2 linked regions of the Arabidopsis thaliana genome follow. The protein of the gene in region 2 interacts with the protein of the main gene of each other region in a pairwise test. Each region holds a gene or a part of one and is shown on either strand. Other genes may lie near its edges.

Region 1 (4,713 bases), on a different chromosome or scaffold from region 2:
ATAACTACTTTAAACTTCAAATATTTCGATATCCACTCTCAAAATGGCCAAACAATTAACCTAGATGTTTCCTATTCGCATTATCCTCACAATTCATCGTATAATCTCTACTATGTAAACAACTAGTCTATTGGTGTTTTTTAAAAGAGCAATTAAACGTGTACATTTACCATTGGTTAGGCAATAGCCACTAGAAACTTTGAAATCACATAAAACCAATTTTATTTTTGCGTATATAAAACCCACATAGGTATCTATCAATCTATTGGGTACTAAAAAAGGTCAAAAAGCTGGTACTGGAAAATGCAGAGATGGATCATAAGAATTTCAAAAGGTAAAATGATAATTGGATATGAATTGGCACTTCAAACATTTTCGAATCTTCAGTCTTCTCCCATCGAATTCCGTTTTGACTCTTTTCACAACGCAACGCACGCCGTTCGGCGTTTTCGTACTTCCTATATTTTACCTTGTAGCTCCCTATACTTTCTATTCTAGTTTTATTACTCCACAACAAAATCTGAATTTGGACATCATTTATCATTTATAGATCTTAACTTCTCGTCGTTTTTGTTACATTCTCAAAAATAGCAAGCAGTTCCGTCCGTTACCCAATTACAATTCACAGGCCCACGTTAGACTACTGAGCCCATCCACGCAACATTCCACGCTCATTAAACAAACATGTTTGGATCAAGACTTGGATAAGCTTTTGTTACATGTTCTCTGACTTATTCAGGCAAGTTTTTTCGAAGCTAACGGCCACGCCACCCGGAAACAGACTTGGGGACAAGTGAAATCGAATTTGAGGCAGCTTCTAATCTGCACAATGCCGAAAGTGCAACTGTTTATTTCCACACCACAAATGCAGAAAACAGTAGACTGATTGAGAGAGAAGGATTAGGGAACTACTTTGATATTTCTTCAACAGCCTTCATGACTTCAGCAGAACTAGTTTCCAGTACTTGTCCTCCAAATACAATCTCATCTAACACCGCGTGCATCTGCAATGAAGGAAAGAAAGAAGAAGGCATAAAGCTATATTATTGACACGCTTTTGTTTCATGTAGCTATCTAAAAGATCCAACCAATCTGCAGCAGCAAATTCTGAAAATAATATCAACTACACTGCAGGACAAACTGTTCTGTGTAATAAGATTACCTTGCTGTAGTTGAACACAATGTCGAGTTCGCAGACATTGCTGAAGCATTTGTCCAGTGTTTCAACAAGAACTGCCAATGCAAGAAACTAACTTTAAATCATCATACAATGAGAATACATTTTCAAAGCGTTAAGCAAAAAGAATTTACGAGCAGAGGAATAGACAATGATTCATATGTAACATCAGTCGATGGCATGCTAAGTCAGTCTCTGTATTCACAAAAACGAAGAACTAATTTGATCTAAGAGAATCTCTACTCTCGACTGAACCCAATACCAATCCAAAAATACTCAACACCCAGTTCTCTTTTAAACACATCCTATGCAGACCAGCTGAGCTCGCACACCACTCATATGCATTTGTACTAGATTCACGGCAACAAGCTTTAATAAAAGAGCCAAGACACTGCACAAACTCTACTATTCAAGACTCTGATTCCAAATTCCCTCTTTCTATATATAGTCAAGCTAAACGGTTAAAGATGTTCAAAACAAGCTACATCTATGAAACTTTTCTCATTCCAAAGCACAAAAATTGAAAATGGAAAAAGGTTTTACACCATGCCATTTCAGATTATATTGCAATCTAAGAACCATAGTGATTAAAAACGGACCTTGAATGAGATCAAGCATAGCAAGCTCATTTTCTGAACCATCAAATACAAGAACAAAATAGAGTGTAGCATAATGCTTGTATACAAGCCGCGAGTCCTGCAAACACACTAAATAATAAGTGTCCAAAGCAACGTTTTTTTTTGTTAAACTAAGTATTGTGGTTATATAGCATAAACAATGAAGACGCCATTACCGGTCCAAACAATGATTCGATCTCCAGAAAATTGCTTACGTTCTCAGGTCTACTGCACAATACTGTAAATTATAAACAAAACAAAAAAACAAAATTTCAGCTCAAGTTTCACGATCGACCCAGATCTTAGCGATACAGATTATGAAATTGTTAGGTATCGTAAGATGCAGAAAGTGATTGAGAACCTGAAAACACGCCGCGAATAAGCTCCTGCTGCTTCTCCACAGGCTGAAATCCAAAAAAAACAAAATCAAAAACCCAATTTTACAAAATCGGTCACTTTGATCGAAGAAACCGAAATTGAAAAACATATCTCAACAAGCATCGTACCAAGTAATCGTAGAATTTAGCTAGACGTGGTTTGCCTTGTGTGTTCATCATCATCACTGCCTTAATCATCTTCCACCTCTCCTCTCTTTCTTTCTTCGTCTCTCTCGCTGACAAACTCTGAATCTCACATTTTCAAACCCTCTCTCTATCTTAGAGGCTTCTTCAATTACATTTGATGACGTCATCACCAATAACAACCCTCCACGTGTAACCAAATTTGAGTGCCCTAATAAATAGTAGCGGGGCCGTCGTGAGGATTGGTCACAATCAATGGCTCTCCGAGAAGACGACGACGATGTTAACATCGGAGAAAAAGTAGTCGACGTAGAATCGGAGCTTCAGAAGTACCGGATCAATTCGATCGAATCAACGGTTGTGATTCGTCAGTTACCGACACAAGGCATTGCCTTCAAGCTCTGGATACCTGCAACAACTCTCGTCACGCTTTTAGATAACTACCGTCGTGACCCAAACATTAGTCCTCTCAATCGCACCTTCTCGAGTTTTCAATCCGACGGTTCAGATTCTTCTTCTCCGATTAACATCGTCGAGCTCGGATCTGGAACGGGAATCGTCGGTATCGCAGCGGCTGCGACACTAGGTGCTAATGTCACGGTGACGGATCTCCCAAACGTAATCGAGAATCTCAAATTCAACGCCGACGCAAACGCTCAAGTCGTGGCTAAGTTCGGTGGGAAAGTCCACGTGGCGTCTCTTCGTTGGGGCGAAATCGATGACGTGGAAAGTTTGGGTCAAAACGTTGACTTGATTCTAGCGTCTGACGTGGTTTATCACGTTCATCTTTATGAACCTCTCCTCAAAACGCTGCGTTTTCTGCTCTTAGAAGGATCATCCGAGAGAGTGTTTCTTATGGCTCACCTCAAGAGATGGAAGAAAGAATCGATTTTTTTCAAGAAAGCTCGGAGATTCTTCGATGTTGATGTTATACATTGTGATGATCCTCAAGAAGGTGCTAGAATCGGAGTTGTAGTTTACCGTTTTGCACCGAAAAATCAAAACCTTTAAGAAGATTTTGTCAAATGTTGATAAATGAAATTTGCTTCTTTGTTAAATAAGAAACACTTTATGAGAAACATTTAATTATGTACACTTTATAAATGTTGGAGCTTCGAACCCGTGACCTTGTAAGCAGAGCACTTCTGATTAAAATACAGAGAACGAAGACTGAGGAAAGAGAGAAGAAAATGACTCTGGGACTGATAAACGCGAATCCAGTGGTGCAAGCTAAGAAGGAAGGGCTTGTTCGTAGAGAAGATCAATATAGAGATGATGGTGTTGATCCTCTTGAAATATATGATATCCTTTTTCTATTTTGAGATCAATTTTGTTTTGGATTTTGTTCTTTTTGGGGGGTTTAATGTATATTTTTGGAATCTTTGACGAAAATGGACAAAGTATGTAAGAGATATAAGAGATCCAGAACACCCTTATACTTTGGAGCAGCTAAGGGTTGTCTCTGAAGAATCTGTTACTGTCGATGACAAGCTCGATCGCATCCTGTGAGTTTATATTAAACATCATTCTTTGTTGAATCGATTTTTAGAGACTATCAGAAGAAAGTTCCAATTTTTATCTCTGTATTGGTAACTAATGTTGAGGCCTCTTTTTGTGGTTACTTGCATGATCTTTAACAATAAGCTGGTTTGGGTTATGTGATGAACTCAGGATAACGTTTACACCGACGATTCAGCATTGTAGTATGGCAAATATAATTGGTCTGTGTCTGAGAGCTAAGCTTAAAGAATGTTTGCAACTTCATTACAAGGTCATCTTGCTTTTAAAAAACTCTTTTCTGATTAAGACAAATACTCAAGATCACTTGTTAGTTGTTACATATGTGTGATTGCTTCTGTTTTGTTTTACTTATGTTTAGGTTGATATCAGAGTGTCTCCGGGTTCTCACGCTGATGAAGTTTCAGGTGAGGAAGTCTTATGTTTACTAGACCATCTCTTCGCAATGGTTTAAGTTCATATATGCTTTCTATAAACCTTAACTAATATAGAGATTGCAAATTGAATGGATGATTTGTGTAAATTATAAACATTGCTCTTGTCCTTGGTTTGATAGATTTTAGTTTCTAATTAACATCACTGCAAAATCTGGTTTTCTATATTTGTATTTTTGGGAAAGTTGATGTCTTAAGCTCTGAACTTTAATACTCATTGGGATCATTTTTGTATTGCAGTTAACAAACAACTGAATGATAAAGAAAGAGTGGTGGCTGCATTGGAGAATCCTAATCTCCGTCAGCTCGTGGATGAGTGTATCTACTCCGATGAGATATGATCACATCATTTACTTCTACTCTCTTGTACAGGCTTCATATCATGGGTTTATATAATGCCTTAGAGAGCGCTCTTTAATCTCAGAATACAAATTAAGGGTGTGTTC
Region 2 (5,939 bases):
CTTTGCATATTCAAAATCAGGAATAACTGAAACAGCTTGAGAGCATACTTAAGGCTAGAGAGAGAAAAAAGCTAACCAGGGTCGCATTGCTGGAAAAAATCTTCCACATCTGCAAAAAAAAGAAATTAATTGTTCTTAATTCGAAGAACTAAGCATCATCAACACAATCCATAACACTAGAGCACAATTGTTGAAAAAGGGTCTAAATAAAGCCACCAAACGATCGTCATGAGAAGAATTCCCACGAAAAACTCAAAACCCATAAGAAAAGTTTCAAACTTTAAAAAGCAAAGAGAAGAAAGAAGAGACCAGTGGTGAGAGCTTGGATGATGCCAGCTCGACGGCCCTTAAAATCTCGAAAGACTTCTTCGACAGTTCGAGGGCTGTAGTGCGCAGTTCCTCCTTCCATGTCCGTCTCTCCTCTCTCGGAAACGATGAAAGAACAGTGAGGTTTGCTTCTTTTTTTTTTCTAAAGCAGAATTTTTGTTCTTAAGTGATAAAGTAAGAAAACTTAATGCAGACTAAAAAGTTGCCCCGTGGACAGTGACCGACCCGGTCTAGTCACAACACTTATTTAAAAATAAAAATACATAAATAATGGACATTAATAATGTCTTCGTGCGTTTAGTTTGGTGTTATCTCATTTTCAAACATAATCAAGTTTGTCGGGAAAAAAACTACTCTACAGATTTCATAAATATTATGAATGACAGACGTAATCAACACATTCAAGATATAATCATATAACCATGTCTTTTTTCACTTTTCTCAATCATCTACAAAGCCATGATCATCCAGAGGAAATAGTTACGATCAGATGAGAAACACCAACAACAATTGGAAAAAAAATAACCCAAAAAAAAGAAGGAAAACTGAGACGAAGCAAATGCATCTGATTAGCTTACACTTGCCATCTCCACTAGCTGGTTCTGCTTACAAAAGTTCCTGTCCAATATCTCACTCTCTGAACAAGTTGTATCTGTCACTCCCAAATGCAACATACGTATACACATGCTTATAACAAACAATACCGTCGTTTCAGGTTGCAATAGGAAATAAGTGAGTCGAATCTTCCTCTAAACACAGCATCGTTGATCGTTACCTTCCTGTCATCAGATTAGAGACCAACGTCAAGCCTAGTATTCTACTTTGGGAAAAACATCCCAAGAAACATCTCTGTAAAACAAAATTGTTACTTATACTTGGTAGATCATCTTACCTGTATCTTCTTTCCTTTTCTCAGGCGCATACTTTTCGAGAAATTGCAAGTTTGTTTTCCAGTAAACTTCACCACCAGACAGCCATGTATCCATATGCATCCCACTTGGAAACTCCACAAATGTGCACTGAGGGTTACGGGCAGCCGCTTTCGCATACAGCATTTTCATGTGAAATGGAGGGACCATCTCATCTTGCAGTCCAGAGAGGAAAAGCACTGGTTGTTTGATCTGTCATTGTTGCAAGATCAGTTTATCACAGGTTGCTACAGAAAATCAAACGATGAGACATTTTTTTAACAGGGATATGTTTTTAGCAGCACATCAAGCTCCTTTCTTGTTTCCTTTCAAGTTTTACTCCATAGAACAAATCAGGGAGCAATCAATCAGCTTGCGGCATACATGAATAATTTTATAGTTCGGGTTAGCTTATCATGAATTCAACATATTCCGCAAAGATATATACACTATGTCCCGTTAAAAGGAAATGAAGGAATGCAAATGCATGAGATATATTAATATATATGCCAGTGAGGTCATTGGGGTACCATAGTGTTTTTTGCTTAAATGAGTCATTTTATGGCATATGCAAACAGTAAACGAAAAGAATCCATCTAACATCTATCTGCAAGAGTCTACATTTGCATCTTACCTCAGCAATAGCATCAATTGTTTTCCAGGGAGAACGTACAACAAAATTAAGAAGCTTCAGGCTTTTCGTACCACTTCCTCCAATAAACCACTTCAAGAACGGCAGCAAAACGCCAGCCATATCAAGAATGGATGTGAAAGTATTTTCCAGAATCAATGCAGATACCTATATAGCGACATTGAGAAATGGTAAACATACAACTATAAGGCGTGTGGATATCAAATGAAATACTGGAAGTAGAGACAACAAGAACAAAAATAATAGCTTAATCAAGGCATCTACAAATTTCATTTACCAAGAAATTTTCTGAGAAGGATAAGGTTCTTGTGCATATAATAGTAAATATCAGTGGGGGTGATAAAAGGAGGCCTATAACAAAGCTCAAACGAATACCCCTATCAACCAGGTTCTTTTATTGCCAGATGACTAAAACTTTAACACAAAAAATAATTATATTCAGATAGTACAAACCGCGTAGATTGTTACTGATGATAAGTGACTAGAATCTAAATAAAGAGGTACTCTAGAAATTTTTATACAATTGGACTCCAGGTCATCTGCCAAAGACCATGAGTTATAATAATTTGCAACAGTAACCAGAATCTCATTAATATACTGATAAGAAGCCATCCAAACCAAGCCCCTAGAGGAGAGAGGAAGGTGCCCTTAGGCGTTATAATTTATAAGGCATTTGTTAGTCTCATTCGTAACCATGTGGGACTCTCAATAATACTTCTCCCTTTAAACAGTAACATCCACAGAGCTGGCGGCTGGTACTTGGCCTATACTGTCTCTCTTCTAATAAAATATACATTTTCCCTACTCATGAAATGCTACCAATAGCAATATGTACTAATAGTACCTTATCTGGATTGTTTTTGGTAAGCACAGCTCCAACAGCTCCCCCAAGGGACCTTCCAAATACAACTATTCTAGATGTATCAATGTCAGTCCTTCCAGAAAGGTGATCCAATGCAGCCTAACAAAAAATATCAGGCAAGAAAATGGATAATGAATACATGGAGACGCAACAGAAGAGATATGTGGATAAATTTAGGGAGACAAGCAAACCTGAGCATCTTTTATGATACCTTGTTGTGAAGGATAGCCTTCACTTGCCCCATAGCTGGTTGCACGGGAAAATCAATAAGCATTGTATAAACAGATCCAAGGTTTAGACTCAAAAACAAACAATTTATATAAGAGATAGACCAGAAACCAGCAAACTGAAACTAACCCGCGATATGAAAGCATGAATACATTGCACTTCAATTTTTGTATCATGATGCGAACCATCTCCAGACGATGAGCGATGTCTGGGATTCTAAGGTCAAGGTCGTAACAAGACAAAGTATCCCAGCTAACAGACATGGAACATAAAATAGGTTCCTTAGAGCATACAAATATAAACAAACAAAAACCAAGAAATGGCTCTGGAAAGGATACTTCCAGCGTTCTCCTGGAAAAATAAAATGGTTGGACCTGCATGCCAAACATAAACTATTAGAAAGACTTCGAATTAGGCTAAAGCTACCAACCACAAGCAACTAGATTTTAGGTGACAGATAAGTTCCAAACTAAAGCTAAAATGACTTAGGGATCACAAATCTGAGAAAAGGAATCCAAAACCTAGCTAAAGACAGAGACATCAAGACCTAAAATCCCTCAAAATTCAGTAGATTCAAAAGCTTATTCGAAAATGTAAAATCAAATCTACCAGGAAAAAAAAACTGAATCGAAAGGAGACTCAATGATCAAAGAGAGTGTGGACCTCGACATTCAGGGAACATCTTGATGAACCAAGCGTGGAGACGTACACCATCGGATGATTGAAGCCAAATATCTTCGTAGATGAGATTGAGCCTAGCGGGAGTGATCGGATAAGACTTGCTTAAACCCGGAAGCACTGGGACGTACACAAGCTTCTCCTGGAAAGCCACGAGCAGCGCCACTCCGGCGACGACTATCCCTCCGAATCCGTAGAACAACGCGCTCACGTACGTCACCATTTCCTCTGGTTCTGCTAAAGGAGCAGATTCCAAATCCAAATCCGAATCCGAAACAGAAGAAGAAGCAAAAATCGAACGCACTTTTGCAACTTTCTATCTGTTTCTCTCGTGGATTTTGCTTTTCTTCTTCAGAGGGGAGAAAAAGAGCTTCTTCGTTTCTTTTTTTAAGTTTACAGGTGAGAAGGATTGAGACAGAGTTTCACTGGGCCGAAACTAAAGCCCATCTATGCGCTAAACCCAAACCGATTTTGAGTCTTCACCATAAGAAAATGTAGCTCTATTTGGTGGTCTAAATTGTTCATTTGCGAGTCCACCAACAATACTCAAATATGACATTTCCCGATGAACTCTAATCAATAGTTCGGCTAAGTTGTAAAGTTTGTACTCAACAATTATATAGATTATTCTACAGTTTCTATCTTGATTTTTATATAATAGTAACTTGATTTTTGTTTGTATCGCGAAGTTATTTGCTTAAATGAGTTAAGTAAAATCATTGTCATGCATTTTGAAATGTTGTAAGAAACTTAGCAAAAAAAAACTTAAATATATTGTAAACAAGCACAAACCATTTTGACCTCTTTAATAATATTATAATAGTTTTGGGAAAAACGAAATTTTGTGGATAAGATCTTGGTACATACAAATTTGTATATGAAATAATAAAAGTGGAGAAGAGACCAATTTATCTTAGTGACCCTAGTGTAATGTTTCAGAAAGGTTATATTGACACTCAACGATAACAAGACCATAGTGGCTGGTCGAAAAAAAAGAAAAATACTGAAGAGTTGTTTGTAAACTAAACAAGTCTTGGACCACCACCCTTTGCCAAAACATTTTAATTTTCAGTTTAGTACATTACCAAATTTACAACAACAACAACAACAACAAAAATACTTACACTATTAATATTTTCGAGTCGTTGGATCATTATTCACTTGAAATGTAATGTAGACGAAGACGTCACATACATAAATATTGTCGGACGGAACATATTGCTATCCTTAAATTAAATGTCAATGAGTTGCCATCAGAAGCGTTATGAACAACACACTACAGTACCCATTTAATGAATAATGCTAAGAACAACTTTTTATTATTGTGATCTAGCTTAGAACCACACATAATAAATTATTTCGTTTTAGGTTTCTCAAAAGTCAGAGTCAAATTTTGCATACATATCGATTAACTTCAAATCTTGCAGCACACTTGGCTACTTGAGTGTGAAGAACGACCTTTGATACCTCTGAAAGTCTAAATCCACAGGCCAAAAATCATGTATATAGTCTAACCTCTGTACAAGTTTAGCTAATCAGTAAACAAACAAAAATGATTTACCTTACCTTATGCAAGACCAAAACTTTTTACTTTTTTCACTTTCGAAATTTTAACCACCGGATTGCGTAATTACCGTAGTGAGACGCGGAACCTTTATTGGAAACCGGTAATCCCGGTTTAAAGTTTCTTAAGCAGAAATTATAAAAAAAAAGAGAGAATAAAACATAAAAAGAGCACCGAACCCAAACCAAAGTAGAAGAAACTGACACCATCTCTGTCTCTCTCTCTCCGTATCCAAAAAGAGAAAGAAAAAAAATCTCAAATCAAAGACCAAGCCAGTCACCGGAAAATGCTGACGTGTATAGCTCGTTCGAAGCGAGCAGGCGATGAATCCTCCGGTCAACCAGACGATCCAGATTCTAAAAACGCCAAATCTCTAACATCTCAGGTAAATTGAAATAAACTCACTCTTCTCCTCCGTCTCCAATTTTCGTAATTCTCTCTTCTGATTGAGGGTATTTTCGTCAATTCAATATCAGCTCAAAGATATGGCTCTGAAAGCATCAGGAGCTTACCGGCATTGTACGCCGTGTACGGCGGCACAAGGTCAGGGACAAGGACAAGGTCCGATCAAGAACAATCCGTCGTCGTCGTCGGTAAAGTCGGATTTCGAATCGGATCAACGGTTTAAAATGCTTTACGGAAGATCAAACAGTTCGATTACAGCTACGGCGGCGGTGGCGGCGACGCAACAACAACAGCCTAGGGTTTGGGGAAAGGAGA

The links.
Region 1: the proteins of WAV2 (region 2) and AT3G50860 interact in a protein complementation assay, tested with the Arabidopsis thaliana proteins (one large-scale study listed by BioGRID).

What each region holds. Positions count from the first base shown.
Region 1 is NC_003074.8:18,900,002-18,904,714, reverse strand, and holds AT3G50860 (Clathrin adaptor complex small chain family protein), read right to left. Parts: upstream 2,571-4,713; 5' UTR 2,370-2,570; coding exon 2,301-2,369; intron 2,199-2,300; coding exon 2,156-2,198; intron 2,033-2,155; coding exon 1,971-2,032; intron 1,874-1,970; coding exon 1,777-1,873; intron 1,234-1,776; coding exon 1,163-1,233; intron 1,005-1,162; coding exon 913-1,004; coding exon of another isoform or gene 909-912; exon of another isoform or gene 823-908; coding exon 756-822; 3' UTR 518-755; downstream 1-517. Other genes in the region: AT3G50850 (Putative methyltransferase family protein), read left to right, coding at 2,571-3,326; AT3G50845 (MIP18 family protein (DUF59)), read left to right, coding at 3,506-3,619, 3,717-3,820, 3,987-4,086, 4,195-4,240, 4,508-4,608. UniProt on the Arabidopsis thaliana protein: Part of the AP-3 complex, an adaptor-related complex which seems to be clathrin-associated. The complex is associated with the Golgi region as well as more peripheral structures.
Region 2 is NC_003076.8:6,942,438-6,948,376, forward strand, and holds WAV2 (alpha/beta-Hydrolases superfamily protein), read right to left. Parts: upstream 4,078-5,939; 5' UTR 3,879-4,077; coding exon 3,641-3,878; intron 3,352-3,640; coding exon 3,316-3,351; intron 3,186-3,315; coding exon 3,107-3,185; intron 2,996-3,106; coding exon 2,941-2,995; intron 2,849-2,940; coding exon 2,732-2,848; intron 2,035-2,731; coding exon 1,870-2,034; intron 1,449-1,869; coding exon 1,220-1,448; intron 1,107-1,219; coding exon 1,099-1,106; 3' UTR 518-1,098; downstream 1-517. Other genes in the region: AL5 (alfin-like 5), read right to left, coding at 77-109, 310-409; BRXL4 (BREVIS RADIX-like 4), read left to right, coding at 5,506-5,604, 5,696-5,939. UniProt on the Arabidopsis thaliana protein: Involved in the regulation of root growth. Involved in the suppression of the root bending in response to touch stimuli, gravity and light. Negatively regulates stimulus-induced root bending through inhibition of root tip rotation.